4 linked regions of the Drosophila melanogaster genome follow. The protein of the gene in region 4 interacts with the protein of the main gene of each other region in a pairwise test. Each region holds a gene or a part of one and is shown on either strand. Other genes may lie near its edges. The genes, in order: Nha2, C1GalTA, Argk2 and bic.

Region 1 (4,994 bases), on a different chromosome or scaffold from region 4:
TGCCAGCCGGCATCCTTGCCGCGTCCTGAATCCTGATGCCGACTTGCAACTCCACATGCAGCGCGCATTCGGAAAATAATTTCTTTGCGTGGAAGAAGATTGCATTCCGTTGTCACGCACTTCCTGCCAAGAGATGAACTCACGCCCCAGCGATTCGCATCGAATTTAGTGCTCATACATCGCAAATCAGTGGAAACTGGCACTTTCTTGGCTCCGGGCTGGTAAACTATATAAAAATGGTAGAGAAATGAGGTCACAAAGCGCCATTCAGCGCCATGCTGGTAAATAAAAGAGCCAGAGACAAATTGAAAAAAAAAACCCCCGTTGCAGCTCGGCAAATAAGCAGCCAAAGTCTGACAGGTGGTCAAAGGTTAAGTGCGGGAGGGGCGACTAAGTGCAGTTTTAGTAATTAGCTGTGGCGCAAGTGCAAGTGCCTGCAAATCCTTCAGATTTAGCCAAAGTATTCAAGCCTCCAAAGTGGGCCAACACAGCTGCGAAACGCACCAGCGCCAATTGAAATGGCGTCGAAAGGGTTTTCGTGACGGTTAACATTCTACCATTCATTTGGCAATCATTATGCTGAGTCACAGTCTAGCTGGCATTTATAAATGTCGCACACTGCGTATACGTAATGAACTGACTTGCACACACACACACACAGGCGCATGAGGCGAATGCGCAATGCACTGCATTTATCAATAGACGAGTGCATGTTTGTGTGCCAAGCGTATATCATGTTGGCTTTAGTTAACAGAAATGTCACCGTTTCACTCACAAGCAGAAGCGACAGGTGAAATGTGGATGGGGCAGGTGGATGGTAGGGCTGTGCCATTCAAGGTTGAGCTTGAGGAATTGCCCCAAACGCTGCATTTAAATGGAATTTATTTAATATAAACGAGTGCCTGCACATGCGAGCATTAGTGCTGCCTGCAGCGGTGCGCAAACTTATTTAAATATGACTTCCACAGTCAAATCAGAGTCAGACGCGAAATGGAAACGGGCATCGGAATCGGAATCGGAATCTGAATCAGAATCAGTGGTGCACTCCGAATGTGAAAGCGAATAGCAAATGCGAAATGAATGCACAGGAAATGAGCCCCGGTTAATGCATATTCATGGGAACATACTTTGCCGAGAGCCGCGGGCTTTTGCCACTCGTGTTAGTTGTATGATTGCGGGCATTTGGGCGCAACTAAACTGGCTCATTATTCGTGTGAAAATGCCACAATTGCGATGGCCCAAAGGGAAGTTCTCCCCAATTCTCCCAAAAAGTTGTACAATGGACTGGTGCGAAAACCCGCATTTGAACAGATGCAAAACAATTGCTGCTCTGGGAGTTTCAAAAATACTAGCTACTCGGCTGTGGGCGAAAAACCAGCAAGGGCCACCTGCCAAAACAGAGGAGCGTAAACAAAAAGCTCGGCCAACGAAAGTGGTCCACACACATGGCCAGCAGGGCACAGCCTTGCATATTTCCAGAAATCAGAAGGAATGTGTAGGAAATGCCTGCCTTTGAGTTTGAGCCGGGACGGTAGATGCACTGGACTGTCAATCGCAGACACTCTGTCGTCAATATGCGGAAATATTACGTATACGCCCCTGTGTCCCCCGCCCGCCTTCGCCATCTTGTGCAAGATGTGATTGTGCGGTTCACTTAAAATCGAAATGCCTCAATCAGCTCCTGCCAGTTGAGAGAAAAAGCTGTGATTCTGCCAGGATATCTCGACGGCGAAACAAAAACTTTGCATAAACAAACTATGAATACTCGTATATGTGCTGAAGTGCATATGTGCATATCTGAGCACGCATTGTGCACTTGGCTGTCGGAGCCACTTCGCTTGGCTGGCCAACAAAGCGTTGGCATGGAGCTGTTCCACTGGATGTCTCTGTCTTCAGCATCCTTTTTGCCGTCCTGTCTGCGGGTTGTGTGCACACTGATCCGGGGAGCTGGTTGCATAAAGGCAAGAATTTCCGTAACAAATACTTTCGTTCCGCATTTTTCGAATTTCCCCATGACGACGCGGTGCAATTAAACATATCACTCACCTTCGATGGCGCTTGGCGCGGTGCTTCCATGGGCACGAGGGGGCACCTGTGGCTTGTCGCCAAGGAGGTGCTCCTTTTCCGGCTCCAGGATGCTGGCGGTCACCGTTTCGCTGGCTCGACGCAGCATATGCAATGGAGTCAAGTTCGCATCACGATCGCGTTCGAAATCTTGCTGGCAGGAGGACATTTGATACGAGTCCTCGAAGGGATTGCTGCTGCGAAAGGCTTGCAAGGGTGGACCCTCACTGCCTGCCACTACATCCAATATATCTAAAAAAAAATATATATATATATATAAATTAATTTGTATGATATTAAAATTAAAATCGCTTTATATTCATACTTTTTTCCCACAAAAAAAATTGACTCAAGCTATTTGGTAACATTTTTAATTACGCATGATAGATAAAGCCGAAGGGTTGCTAATCAAACAAAAAATATTGATAATTCCATTCTACCATTCTTATTTTCCAGTCCCAAGTATATAAATAAAAGAGTTAATTTCCCAACAATTTGACTTGTGGAAGCCCGAACATATTTGCACACGATTTATTTATTGGCACTTGGGCAAAAAGTGGCATTTAATTGATTAACCATAAACTCGTAAATTAACGCCGAAAGTGAGTATCGAAAGCTGCCAGAATCGCTTACCGGAATCGCTGCTCATGTCGAATGTCGGCGAAATCCAGAGAACAAAACAAAACTGAGTGATTGAGTGAAAAAAACGCGGAAAATAATGCCAAAGAGCGACAACTGCTGACGCAATCAGTACGATGACGTAGTCCAAATGGCTATTCTTGGCTCAAAATTGACGAGTGCCAAAGAGAAACGCCGCGGTTTGAAGAGATTGGTTAGCTGCGAATCGAGTGGATATATAGTATATAGTATAGTATATGCAGGGAACGGAACACGCGCGACACGACCGGCGGAAAGGCGGAATGAAATAGTGTAGTAGCCCCGGAACTTGAGCACTTGGAGCTTCTTTTTATTACAGCTCATGCACTGGCAAATATTTGCCAAACGCATTAATTAGAAAAGCAAAAGCCATTTAAACAAGCAATTGCCGATTCGCGCAGCTCCAGCGAGCGCTCTTCGATTAAAACTAATTGGCAAACAAACAAGCTCTGCGGAAGGCGAACCTTCTGTTTTCATTGCTGTCGAGCGAAAAGTGCGGAATGAGTTGGTTTCTGGGTTGGGTGAAATGAGGGGTGGGGGTGGGGTCTGTTTGGAAGCACTTACATATTTATAAGGGGTTCGTTTATCTGCGATTCAATATGCCCATAGTTTTCTAAGGCGCAGCCAATTAGCTGATAAATAATTGTCATGTAATCATAATTTATCTGAACTAGATAAGGCGCCGAATAGCCGCGTTATTAATAGACCTCTAATCATAGCGCATTTCCCATGTGTGAGTGTCGGAATGATTAAACGCTTTCACTTTTTTTTAGGGAAATGTGCGCGACCTGCCCCATTTGAGCTCTATCATTGGGGCGGCAATTCTGTGCCATAGATGGCGCTTTAGTTTGCCAGCTGCGTTTACATGGTATTAAAAAAAAAACTACCTTATATTGTTTTTATTATTAATTATTAATTTTTGTGAGCTTGGAAAGCAATTATATTTCCTTGAAGTAAAAAGAGTTTCGCTTGTCTTGCAAATTGTTTTTCTGACAATTTGCATTTTGACGTTGCTCATCATATTGGGCGCCGTGGCCACTCCCACGCCGTGGCTGTAATTTAATTGCTTCGCTGGAATATTTTTAATTTACCTGATGGACAAACCAGCCCCATGACAAAGATAACCAATCGCAGTGACGTCACCACCATTATCCAGTGCTCCAGTCAGATCATCTCCTCATCAGGTGCCACACGTTGTTGCGCAAAAAAAGTGTCGTTTGCGAAAATATTTAATTTATTTTAACTATGCACACACACTTTTTTGCACTGTATGGAGTTGCAGTTGCACTCTCACTCTATAAGATGGCCATTATGACGACGATGATGATGACTATGATGATGGCTCAAAAAAAACAGGACATTGTGAGGTGCGGGGCGCTGCAAAAAGGATAATACAACTTTCTCGCTCTATTTGCCACGCACACACATGTTGTTACAGTGCCGTGATTTTTGTTGCATCAAATTGGAATTTTTTCCTTAAATATGGTAAACATCGATGGGGCAGAGATTTATGTATAGTGCAGCGGCGCGTTGATGAAAATGACTCGCCGCTGCATTGACCGTGTTTACTGTTTGTCAGACAGGGCAGCAATTTACGCCCACATGCAAAAAACATTAATTTGCATGCAAGTCAATTATCAGGAGGCAGCAAACAGACAGGCGCTAGTTACCAGTTTTCAGTATTCAGTTTTCTGTTTTGAGTTTTCAGTTTTCAGTTTTTCAATTTCTTTTGCACAAACATTGGTGTTATTATTCCGCCATAAGGATGCAAGGACTAATGGAGATACTCTTGAAATGGGTCATGATATTCCAAAAGAATCGCATATGGCGCAGAAAGATTTATTTTGTTTTTCATTAAAGTACCATACAAACCATTAATTTAGCTCGCTACTCTTATAGAGCATCTGCAGGTTGTTGAGCTCAACGTGGACACTCAATGGCGAGGACTTTCAAACTGCCAGGCCAGCACATTTCTAAATGTTTTTATTAATTAAAAATATTGCAAATTAAACACATTTCCAAATTGCGTTTTGCATTTTTCGTATAAATACGCGGTCGATGGAAAAAATGCAAATATAATTTACAAAGCATACATTTCACATTTTATTCTTATTTTATGTTCATTGCATTTTGGTTTGCTCTATCGCCGCTTTCGCAGCCATCAGTTCTTAAACTTGCCTCAAAGCTCTTAAACACGATTACTACCTGCTAATTAGCTTAGAATACCTATGTTTTGGGACCAGTCTTGGGTGCATGATGGGGTCTACCTGCTT
Region 2 (4,820 bases), on a different chromosome or scaffold from region 4:
AGATAAAGCCAAAGATAATAAAACATTATAACACCAGTTTGTCTCGTCAAAGATGTAGTACCTTGCACAGATAATAAAAAAAAATATTTTGTGGCATTGTAAAGCTTAAAAAATTCCCTCAATGTGTGTGTGTAGAACCCTTGACATAAAACGTTTACCTCATCATAACTCAAATAGATAAGCATAACTATATTTATGGGTTTTTCAAAACCAGCTTAATATTGTAGTTAAGTTTTCCCAAAAGTCAACTTATGTAGCTTAAATTCTTATTCACTATATATGTATAATAATAATAATAATCTAGTTCTTAACTAATTCATCGAGAGCGCGTAATGGAGCACCTGTTAATAGAAATTAAGCTAAACTAAATTTATTATTATGTCATTCAGTTAATAGAGTGCCTTTTGCTTTTTTGCTGCCCTATACTCAGACTAGCGTGACAGTCCATTCATCGTAATTTAAAAAAAAAAATGTAAAAACAGAATGGGCCAGAAAGACAAACTAAAACCAGAAACCAAACCAATTGTACAATTGTTTTGTTTGGCCGCTTTTCATCTGCGGTCAATAAAATCAGCCACGCTCTGCGATCCCGCAAATATTTTAATTCAGTTATTGTATTTTATTTTTGGAGCCCGTATAAGCAAAGTACCCTGTACTTAATGTTTTGGCTCTATGATTCTCGTTTTATTTCAATTCACTTTCAGTAACTTCCCTTTCAGATAAACAATACAGTAAGGACTGGCACAATGATGTCGGCAGCTGTTTATCAAAGTGGAACTGGACTGCGGAATTGTTATCAGGCACAAAAAAAAAACATGGCATTCGTTTTTAAAACTCTGTTTCTTTGTTCATCGTGTAATAGTACAATACAGCAAATGAAAATGGAAATATTAATATGATTCATATAACGAACGAATGAGAAAAGTGATTATGCCATTAGTTCAACCTTAAAGAATTCCATTCCTTAAAATTTTGTATACTTTACGGAGAGCTTATCTATAAGAGTTCTCAAGTAACTATTATTTTCTGTCCCAATGAACAATATCTATTACTCTGTTGTTCAAACGACATCGACAAAAGCAATGTATAAGAAGAAAAGTCGGAATGTGAGTTCTTAATTAAATATTGATTAAAAGGCTTTGCTGATAGATAATTGATTGCTGATTAATGAATAGGTATAGCGCTATTCACCTGAATCTCACGTGAAATGGCACCTTTTTGGGGCCATTGAACAATATTCTATAGTATAGCCCGCGGGGCATGGCACAGCTGGTTTAAGGTTATTGGGTTAGTCTATTCAAATTCAGATTTTTGGCTTTACGAAATAACACACATTTAAGAACAAATACACCCAATACAAGAAATAATACATTAAAAACTATTTGACTTGGTATTGAATATTTTTAAAAATAATGTAATAATACATTAAGTAAGGAGCTCTTTAAGGATCAGTCTTTTAGAGTCATTCATAATTATTAAAACTCATTTACTAGGTAGTTCTCTTCTGGAAAACGAAAACATGCTAAAAGTAGCATAAAGTACTATTCTTATTCAGTCCCATATGTTGCAAGGAGAGTTCATTACTTTGATGACTGATGGAAATGGCTACTGTTTTTTTACTTGAAGCAGGAAGAACCATATGTATGTTTATAGTACAAGTTCCAGCTTCCACTATCAGTTGAATTTGAATGGCAATCACTAGGTGCAATCTGCATATGAATTATCCCCGCAACAATAACAAGAGAAGGCTAATCAGAGAGCAGAGACGAGAAATACAAATACAAATGCACGCACAATAGCATGTGCTGCTCTCTCTCTCTCTGTCGAGATAAAAATGAGAGGGAGAGAAAGTGACGCCCACTGGAACCACAAATAAATTAAAGTAAATGCGTTTCGGCTGCAGTTAATTCACCCCCCGGATGCAAAAGGGAATAGAGGGGGAGGGCTGAGTGCATGGCAGGGCATAACGGAAATGACAACTGAAGAGAGCCGGAGAGCGAGAAACCAAAATGCAGCTGTTTGGGGAATGTCATTACATTAACAGAGACAACAACAACCACCAGGATAAGACATCACGAATTGGGAAGCCACTTCTCGCCTAGTTATCAACATATTCCTTTGTGTTTAGCGGGTTATTAAAAATACTCAAGACCAACGACCCTCAAACAGATAACATATTAGAGTTGTCGCCTTAAATGCCTCAAACACACTTGGAACAGAACGTTAAATTTAATAAATGCTGTACCTTATAATTTAAACTTTTTGCATTGATTTTATAATTTTTAGGCATAGGATCAGAGTTTACAAATATTTTAGGAATGGGGACCCAAGAGTTTAGCTATTTTTTTTATACTGTTCTCAATTCTTTTCTTCATTAGCTTTATTTTAACATCCTGCAGCAAGGGGCTTTGGTAGTGTGAGTGGCCGGACTGGAAGGAAAGGCCGTCAGGCAATTCTTCCTTCCACTTCCTTCTAGTCAATTTCAGTTTCCAGTTGGAAACCAATATATGTACATATGTATATTCTCGTGCGTTACTTGCCGTAACAGTGGCTTAAACTTGTTCGTTCTTATTGTTTTGGTTTTATTCACACTCTTCACCTTCGTTTGCTCTTCCTTGTCACGTTCTTCTTGCACTCTATGTACATACACCATATGCGCAATTGTATATTATATTTATTGCGCTTTCTGTTTTGGCACAAAACGCAATTTTTGCTGACCGATTAGTTTTCCGTTCAGGTAAATTCCGCACGCGTTTCATTTCATTTGATTTTTAAATCACCGTTTTTCGCGTCGCCCATTTACTTACGAATTGATTTTTCCTCACGCGTTTCTCCATCGCAGGACGCTCCCAAAAAGCTTTTAATTTCGCGATGAGTGCGTTTTATTCACAACTGCTTTCACGTTTTGCACATTCGCTTAATTGCTGTGTTAGTCGAGCCACTCGAAATATTTAATTAAACTTATTTTCCGCGCCCTTTCCTTGATTTTCAACAAGCGCATAAGTGAAGCAAGCGAACGCGCCGGACAAACAAAAACAACTGCCGCGAATTCTAAAACTGAGCACGAGCGAGAACGAAGAGAACAGAGTACACTGGCAAGAAAATGTTGAAAGTTGTAAATTAAAAAAATTTATGATTATGATCGAAGTTGAAACATAAGCTATTATTGCTGTCTAGTGCAATAAAAGTAAAAAATTTGAATTTAATTACACCAAGTATTATTAAATATATTATTTAAAATATCAGTTCCCAATAAGTATTTTTAACTATTTCATATTTAACCAGAATATAGTACAAATTAGTACAAAAACAAATAAATTTAAATATCGCAGTATACAAGTTATTTGTTTCTACCTGTGCAATCAACAGAATTAAGTGAGAGAACCAAAGCTCACTCTCTCTCTCTCTCGCTGTTCTTTTTATATGCTTGTGTCGGAAAGGGGGTGTAAACCGGTACCGGCTTTCTATAAAGAGCGAGAGTGATTTGAAAATTATAAAAAAAACTTCTATTAAACTAAAATATTATAGGTAAGATATGTAGTTTGTATATATAAGTGGTGTGACTTCGATTTATCAATGGCCTGTTTCTCTCATCACTCGCTACTAGTCACCATATATTTGGCAAAACAGCTGTTGGAAACTATCTTAAGGGTTTGTTTTTGGGGTTGGTTCTAAGATTTGTGTCCACTCTTTCGAATATTACTTTCTCAAAGAATGAATACAAATATATGTGCATAATATATAAATTGATAATTGTACGTCTGAAATATCTCCAAAAATCACAATCTAGAAAGGAAAGAATATAAAATTACCGAAAACTTGTTCAAATTTTGATTTTTGAAAATCATTAAAATTATGATAGGGATAGTTAGGTATGCTTATGAGCAGTATAAAACAGTGTTTTTTTTCGTTAGATGTGCCACCTTTTTTTTACCAAGTTATAGAGAAAACCCCGTTTAAAAATATAAGATTTTTGTATTTTTTTTTTTTTTTTTTCTAGTAAGATTTCACAAGCTATAAAAATAGTTGTCCAAAACCGTTATTAGAAAATATAACTAACATCAAATTTGAATGCAAGAAATTTTTTGCATTGTACGTTAAAAATTTGCGATATCGCAACTGTAATTAAACAAGTTATGTATACGCGCAAACTCGTTAAGAAACGTTTTTGTTTGATTCGTTATCTATTGTACATTAACAACCGGCTTCTGTGATGCTAAAGACTTCTAATACTTCATATTCGAAACCTGAACATAGACTACTTGAAAATTTATTAAGGTAACTCCATGTTGTCAGCCAAAATTAGTGAATATACGTTAAATATTTTTAAACCCAGAAATCGAAATTAATGCAATTGGTGACGAATGCCTTTAATAAATATTTATTGATGTGGGGCTGGTTAATGAGTTCATATAACTTTTTGCAATCGATCACTTCAGATAAGATAGTATTTCTTGTTAGCATTATCTGACAACTCTGATAAGGGCAAATTCTGTCTTCTAATTAGTGAGCAACGAATGAGAGTTCAGGAGTTTTTTAAACGCTACAGTCGAGTTTCGTGACTACCAGATACCCGTTACTCAAAAAAAATGTTTTAAAAGTGTCGGCGTGATGTTTCGAAATAAAAATGCCGCGTGTCAAGATCCGTTACACCCTTTTCAACAAGTCGAGAATACCCTCTTAAGCTACGAGTAACGGGTATAAAAATCGCTGACTGACTTTATTTTTTTTACTGTAATCTTACACATTATCTACACAACCACAAGTATATACAGTGTAGATCAACATTAGATTCGTAGCAATCAGCTTTCATTTGCTGA
Region 3 (3,845 bases), on a different chromosome or scaffold from region 4:
CCGGCTGGAGGTGCATCGCCTCCGGAGTTAACATCTATCCACGGGTGCCACCAGTTCGGGGCATACGCAACAATCAAGAACAACAACAGCAACACTTAGAAATCTTCGGCTCGTCCGCCTTGTCGCTTTTGGGCGGTTCGAACTGCAAATATGTCTAGTTTGTAGCTATGGTGTGGAGCTGCTGTCCCAGTCCGGCAACCTTCGGCATTTTCGTATACTTTGAGGGTCGCGGGCGCAGGCAGGGATCCCATCTTGCAACACCATCAACACCTACAGCAGCAGCAGCAACAACGGATAACTATTTGACAAAAACATTTGCTTAATTACAACCAAACAATGTAAAACATTTTGACATCTGTGTCAAGCAAAAACAAAAAAAGGAACTTTAAATACTTTTATTTAAGTCTTAAGTTTATAAAAGAATTAAAATTATTAAAAAAAAAATAAAAAAAAAACTTAAAACTCAATGAATGTTTTGTATTCAATGGATATAGAGGACATATAGGGTATACAAATATTTAGTTTATTATTTATTTAGAGTTCATCACGGCCTTTAACCTTTTGTACACTTCACGCTTTACAACTAAGCTGACTTTGCCTTACACTCGGCTTCTATGAGACCCTTGATTCCATCGTGCATCTCTTTGATGATTTCGTATTCGGTTAGTCCCATCCTGCGTTGGTTGGATATATCGTGCACTCCGCCCTTGGCCTCTGAGTGCTCGCCCGAGGTTCCTCTGATTTGTAGACGATACTTGTCGGCCAGCTTTTTCATCTCGTCGGGATCACACATTAGATTGGGCAGCTTGATGTGCACCGAGGCGCGAATAGAAGTGCCCAGATTGGTGGGACAGAAGGTTAAAAAGCCAAGTCGTTCATCCCTGTTGAATTGCAGCTGCTTGCCGAGAGCCTCCACGCCGCCAACCATGCGATCGTAGACCTTGCCCAGGTCGCCACCCTTCTCCATCGAGATGATGCGTATGTGGTCCTCCTCGTTGCACCAGACCAGAAAGTTCTTGGCGCTATTCAGAAAGATGCCCCTTCCCGTTGGCCAATATCGAGAGGCTCCAGCGGAAGCCAGAAATCGATCGCCCTCCTTGAACAGATAGTGATCCTCTATGAGCTGCTCCTGTATGCATTTATCCATTCCAGTCAATGGCATGTATTTACCCTTGTACTCTCCGGTGAGGCTAGTCACTGCCCCACAAATCTTACTCTCCAGCTCCATGTAGTCAGCCTCCGTTAAGCAGGGATTGAAGGGGTATCCTTTGACGGCTCTTCCGCAACGGACACGCGTGGATACGATGAAATGGCCATCGGGATCTAGGTTTTCAAAATCCGCGCCTTTGCCGAAAGCAGTCGCCGGCTGTTTGTCCGTCTTCTTGAAGCACTTATGGTATTCCTCGATGACGGGATCAAAGAGATCGGCAAACACCTTATATGCCTCCGGATCGGGGGCGTAGAGCCCAACGCCGGAGTCATGATTGCACATTCCCGAACTGATGCAGTGCAGCAGTGTGGAGTTGAACGAGGGTGTAGTCTTCGTCTTTAGCTTCTCGAAGATCTCCTTGGTGAGATGCTTCTTCAGCAGGGACTTGGATTTCGACTCGGCCAACTTCTTGTAGCCCTTCTCCATTTGCTCCATCACCTCCTTGTCCACATTTCCTTTGCTGGCATGGCGATTGATTACTAGCTGCGCACAGCGGCCTAGTAATTGAAGTTCAAGCCGGAGTTTTAAATGTAACAGCATTTTTAGGTGTTGAATTTGGAATGACACCGGCCAGGCTGACCCTAAGTTAGAAAGTGACATTAAACCAAATGGCTAGAATAAATCTAGTAAAACGCCATTTAGTACGAACAAAAAACAGACGGTTGAAAACTCCACTTTAATAGATATCGGAAAGGAGATTGCTAAGCAAAGACTCAATCTATGTACAAGTAAATTTGAAATAAATAAAGTATAAAGTAAATTTTGATATACTTGAGTTCCTCATGGATTTAAAAATTGTTTTCACAACTATGGTTTTGCGCTAAAGTAAAGAAATCATTTTCATTGATACTTTTTTAAAGAACCGTTATATGATATTCACTTAATGGTTTTTAAAAATACAATAATGCATTTAAGAAACAATTTTGTTTGATAGTGTACTCATATAGCACGGCTCCAAACCATTGTAAAATACATGGCAAATGTAAAATATTATGTGTAAAATAATGCGTAAAATATGTAAAATACAGGGAAATGCTTAAGAAATGTATACAAAACCCATCGAAAATTGGTAGCTCAAATACTGGTTTTAAAACACTCAGTTCTTCTGTTTAAATGTAGACTTTCTAAGATATATATTACTAATGTAATTATATAATATGTTTAATACGGGTGTAGAAGCCATCAAAACCAAAAACTATGTTTTATTTCCTTTTGACTTTTTTTATTTCAATAAAATACTTAGAACATTATAGAAAAAGGTGTGTTAATTATGATTAGTTTTCACAATCCACCTCGACCTGTTCTCGTTCGCACAATTTAATTGAATATTTGCAAGCTGTTGGCTCGTAAAACAGAGAATGCGAACATTTTTATAGCTTAAAGCTTAAATACCAAATCAAATATATTATAATTAGCAATAAAGAACAACAAAAGCGGCAGCGGCAACAACAATATGCTAACATGTGGCGCAAATAAAATTCAGATCCGAACGGCAACACCTCCTCAATAAAGCATCGTTATCCTCATTATCATTATCAACAGCTTCGAACGAAAACCGGATTTGGATTTGGGCATGAGTATTGGACCAACCTACACATAAAAATTCATTAAGTATATTAAAACAAGCGCAAATTAGAAATGCAATACCGGAGCGACTTCGATTTCCATTTTTATCTCATAATCTACGAATTTTGACGCTTTTTGCCACCGTTTTTTCAAAAAGAAGCCAGCAGCGAGTCAGCAAAAAAACACCTAACATTAAAAAAAAAAAACACTTCTGAGGCACAGACGCCGACAACGAATGTGATTTGATGTTGTTTTGGCCCCTTTTGTTTTTGGGTGAAAACGTGCAAATCCCATAATTTAATTGTTTCAGCATTTCAAATGTAAATTTATGCACCAACAAATCCAATCGAAGACGAGGAGAAACACAAAGCGCTAATACAAAACTAAGCCCAAATTAGTCAAAAAGCCGCTTGAAACGCGGCTTCGTGTGGCTGGTGAATTATTTCGCGCTGATTTGGCTTACATTATGCATAATATATGCATCGATTTCTATGAATGGAAGCCAAATCGATTCGTTGCCCCTTTGAACTATCCGCAACGACTGGCTAGATAAATTCTCTGTGGTCCCATCTCCTTCTGGATGCACTTAAAAACTTAATTAAAAATATTAAACACGAAATGTTTGGCGCCACCGTTTAGGAAACGCTCAAAAGTGGACCGCACACATCCACGGAGCGCCGAGTTATCAGCTCAATTATGCAAGCTGAAAGGCAGCCGCCGGGCCACAGACAGATTTGTCGCATTTGACACGATAATGCACACAAGGAGTGACCACACCAAAGTCTCTCCAACCGACTCGGCATCGGTTTCTGTTTCGGTTTCTTGGCCAGCTCCCACTTCGTTTTGGCCTGGCCAATGGCCATAAAAGGTGCGATAAAACGAAAATTTCACAAGACGGCAACAGCAGCAAGTGCACTGCAAGAAAAGTGCTTCGATTTTGAAATGATCAGATGAATGTTGAATTTTTCTTTCTTTAAATTTACTTTAAAAACCATTTCTATTAGCAATACCATAAGCCAAAACTTACTTAGTTGAATTGAAATGTGTGATACTTTTTTTTCTCCGTGCA
Region 4 (3,961 bases):
ATAAAAATGAATCAATTCCTTATCGAAGCGCTACTGAGGATGAGTCATTTTAAACAATTTAAATTATATTGTTGTTATACTAAAATTGCTAACATTATAGCAATTATTATATTATGGATAAAAACTGGTAAAATCCTGGCCAGAAAGGGACAACAGACTATTCACTTGTTTCAGATAAGATACGGCCATATAAATAAACATACATAAATAGACAATTACTTTGGCCCTTGCTGATAAAGTAAGTTCCGCTTATTGCTGAGCATACTTAATGTTGTTTACGAATCGGTGGAGAGGCAAAAGAAAAAAACCAAACAAGCCAAAAGCTCTCTCCCATTATTCAGATCTGTCTCTCTCTCTCTATAAATATGTATATCGACTAAATATAATTGTTATTATCACTTCTTAACACGAATAGGATTTTATATACTCTTACACACACTCGCTCACTCATAAAACTCATCTTTTGAGCTAAACTCCGGCTGCTTTGTCTTTCTGAATGACTCATCGGGGAGTTTTTATTTGATTAATGGCTTATAGGCTAATACTTCTACATATATTTTATACAGTTACTCACTGGACAGAACGGCACCTTGGCGTCTGCTGGTGCAGCAATATCCGCAGCAACTCATGATGAGGAAGGTGAGCAGAAAGAACATGAAAATGCCCCAGAAATCCATGGCGAAATCGTCTATATCGTCCAACTCAAAGTCGTCCACTGCGGAAGAAGTTAATGTGTTTAAAAGCTCGTTTCATAGTCGATAAGACGTCGTGAAATACTTACGTTTGACAAGGATTTAGCGGTTATTTCCCTTTGTTAATATCTGTATTTAAAGTCGAAAATTCCACTTGTTGCAGGGAATGCACTGCCTATTTATCGGATTTATCCGCTTTTTGGCAGCACCCGTATAATTCACTTAAATATCAGTGAACTACTCTACCGGAAGGTCGTTATTGAAGCCCGATTGGAATTAACTATATCTTATCAGCGTTAATCTGAAAGTAATACAATTTATCATGATGATAATGGGTGCACGTTATGCAGCACTGACTGCGCTGGCTATGTTTAGTGAGCAGTCGATGTAAAGCGGCGATAGCTAGCGCACTCAACACAGCAATCGATAATTCAAACATAACATCTGATTTAATTGTGTTTAAAACTTTATTGCAAGGTATATAATGGCTCATAATTTTATTTATTTGCGTTCCAAATATTTACTAAATTGAGTTTGTTATACTAAGCTTGTATATTTTGTATAGATATTTTTTAAAACATTACAATTTATCATAATGATGACGTTATGCAGCACTGACTGCTGAGTTTAGTGAGTAGTCGATGCAAGCCAACGATAGCTATCGAACTCAACAAAGCAATCGATACTATTGGAATAGAAAATATAAGAATTAATTAATTCAAACATTACATCTGGTTTAATTGTGTTTAAAACTTTATTGCTGGGTTTATGATGGCTCATAATTATGTTTATTAACATTCCAAATGTTTAGTAAATTGGTTTTTTTTCTTACCACGTTTATTTTTAATTTTATATAGCAAATTTTTAAACATATTTACTTATATATGTGGTTGAAAGCGATGAAAATAAAGTAAATCGATTAAATTGAGATTTATGCCCTGAGTAGATTTACTTTCCCACCATATACTACTAAAAATTTGAATATATTCAAAACTAAAAATTCATTCAAAATTCAGAAAACGTATTACTTCAAAAATAATGTATAAATTATATAAACAATAGAATTTTTAAATTTCTTTGGCGCGCTTTGGTTGCCACCTTGTGAGCTATCGATAGTCAACACTCACGTTTAGTACTTCCTACCAGTACTACTCACATATACATACACCTTTTGCCATTTTTATCATGGCGATTTCTTTTTGACATTTGACTACGACTGGGCGCACGTGTTTTCTGGCAAGGCTCTGTGCTAAATTCTAGTAAAATCAAAGTGAGTAGTGGAAAGTGCGGCATTCGATTGGCGTTTTACTGATGCGACCATTGTGTGTACTCAATTGAACAGATGAACGCGGAAAAGCTGAAGAAGTTGCAGGCGCAGGTGCGCATTGGCGGCAAGGGCACCCCTCGCCGCAAGAAGAAGATCGTCCACTCCACGCCCGCCACCGACGACAAGAAGCTGCAGTCGTCGCTCAAGAAGCTGTCGGTAAACACAATTCCCGGCATCGAGGAGGTGAACATCATCAAGAACGATGGCACCGTCATCCACTTCAACAATCCGAAGGCCCAGGCCTCGCTGCCGACGAACACGTTTGCCATCACGGGTCATGGCGAGAACAAGACGATCACCGAGATGGTGCCCGGCATTCTGACGCAACTGGGTCCCCAGGACATCAACCAGCTGAAGAAGCTGGCCACGGAGATTGCCAGCAAGAGCGGCGCCGGCGGAGCAGCCGGCTCTTCAGCCGCCGATGCCGGTGACGATGATGTGCCCGATCTGGTCGAGAACTTCGAGGAGGTGGCCATCGCCGACACAAAGGAGGAGAAGTCCGGTGAGGTGGCGGCCTCCGCTTAGGCTGGTCCAACCCCGCCCACCCGGGCAAATCACACCACCACACACCGAACACAAAAACATACATACAAAACATACGGGGCCAGGGAGCAAGACGAAGTGGCTGGCATACAGGGCAGAACCCACACACCAGACACGCCGGAAACACATCTACCACTTACCCATTCCGGTTCCAAATCGGAAACGGATCCACTCCGGACTGCAACCAGCGCTTCTGCCCTGAATGGGCCATTCTTCGTGCTCCCTCCAGCCACTTTTTTGGGGGTCATGCTACACACTATACTAAAATACAAAAATAAAGGCATCCGAGTGAGCGCTGAACAGAACACATAAGCATAATAACTATACTTAACATACTAAGGGAACCCTTCAATCTTAATCTAATTGTACTAGTTTGGAACAGTCAAATGTATTTTCCAAAGCGATTAAAGAACGTTTCCTTAACCAAAAAAAACCACAGTCTAAACAACACACACATTCTAATTTTTGCCGCCCTCCCAAGAACAACACACACAGATGTATCTATAGATATATGCGCTGTCATAAAACACTATATACTATATATATACGATACGGTTTTCGGAAGAATTGTGACGAGGTGATTAGGGGAACAACGCAGACACTCCAGATGAATTCATTGCCAGGTCGCGAGGACAGAGAAATATATTTTTAGCACTACTAGCTCTTACCGATTTTCCCCAATTTCCGACTTTTCGATGTAACCCCGCCCTCAAGGAATCCTCAATTGAAAACGAAAACAAGCTGAGGCCACAATTTCGATTCGAGAACAATGTGCCCAAATTGTTGAAAGCATAGCTTATAATTTGTAAACTATTGTTTTAGACCATCATTACCATGCATAACATTAAATGAGCTGTAAAAACCATACGACCCATTCATATTTCCAGCATTTTTTTTTTAGTTTAATGCCTATTTTTTTCTTTGCTTGCATAATCGACATGTGTGTGAGTGTGGGCCTGTGTGTGTATGCATAGCAACGCTCTTGTGTGAGGTTTTCGAGGTGATGGGAAAGGGGTAGTGGGAGGTGTGGCGCAAAGCACGCGGCAGTCGAAAACTTGTTGACATTTGGTATGGTACGTCTAAAATCCAGATGGTCAGAAGGCTCCTTCGGCAGGAACTATGACCCGTACGCAACTTCCAAATTATGTGTCCAAATCCAAAGTTGGGAGTCGTAGCATGCGGTACATGCACATATGTATATATATAAATATGTATATGGTTTTTGGTCGGAAATCTTCGAAATGAGTCACGTTTAAATTGGCTTAAAATTGCGATTAGGCCAGTTCAACCGGAATGTTTCTTGAAGTTTCCACTCATTTGTACATAAACAAGCGATTGCGGCTTCTTATCACATTTCGACGACCTATAACGGATTAAGGTTAATGCAAATGCTAGTATT

Evidence for each region.
Region 1: the proteins of bic (region 4) and Nha2 interact in a two-hybrid assay, tested with the Drosophila melanogaster proteins (one large-scale study listed by BioGRID).
Region 2: the proteins of bic (region 4) and C1GalTA interact in a two-hybrid assay, tested with the Drosophila melanogaster proteins (one large-scale study listed by BioGRID).
Region 3: the proteins of bic (region 4) and Argk2 interact in a two-hybrid assay, tested with the Drosophila melanogaster proteins (one large-scale study listed by BioGRID).

Annotation. Positions count from the first base shown.
Region 1 is NT_033777.3:22,995,468-23,000,461, forward strand, and holds the start of Nha2 (Na[+]/H[+] hydrogen antiporter 2), read right to left. Parts: upstream 3,062-4,994; 5' UTR 2,714-3,061; coding exon 2,698-2,713; intron 2,319-2,697; exon of another isoform or gene 2,317-2,318; coding exon 2,047-2,316; exon of another isoform or gene 987-2,046; intron 1-986. Other genes in the region: CG34375 (uncharacterized protein), read right to left, coding at 4,985-4,994.
Region 2 is NT_033779.5:8,948,171-8,952,990, forward strand, and holds the start of C1GalTA (core 1 galactosyltransferase A), read right to left. Parts: upstream 3,047-4,820; 5' UTR 2,808-3,046; exon of another isoform or gene 2,600-2,807; intron 1-2,599. UniProt on the Drosophila melanogaster protein: Glycosyltransferase that generates the core 1 O-glycan Gal-beta1-3GalNAc-alpha1-Ser/Thr (T antigen), which is a precursor for many extended O-glycans in glycoproteins.
Region 3 is NT_037436.4:9,045,401-9,049,245, reverse strand, and holds Argk2 (arginine kinase 2), read right to left. Parts: upstream 1,808-3,845; 5' UTR 1,751-1,807; coding exon 584-1,750; 3' UTR 522-583; downstream 1-521.
Region 4 is NT_033778.4:12,868,369-12,872,329, forward strand, and holds bic (bicaudal), read left to right. Parts: upstream 1-1,880; 5' UTR 1,881-1,962; exon of another isoform or gene 1,963-2,034; coding exon 2,035-2,544; 3' UTR 2,545-3,426; downstream 3,427-3,961.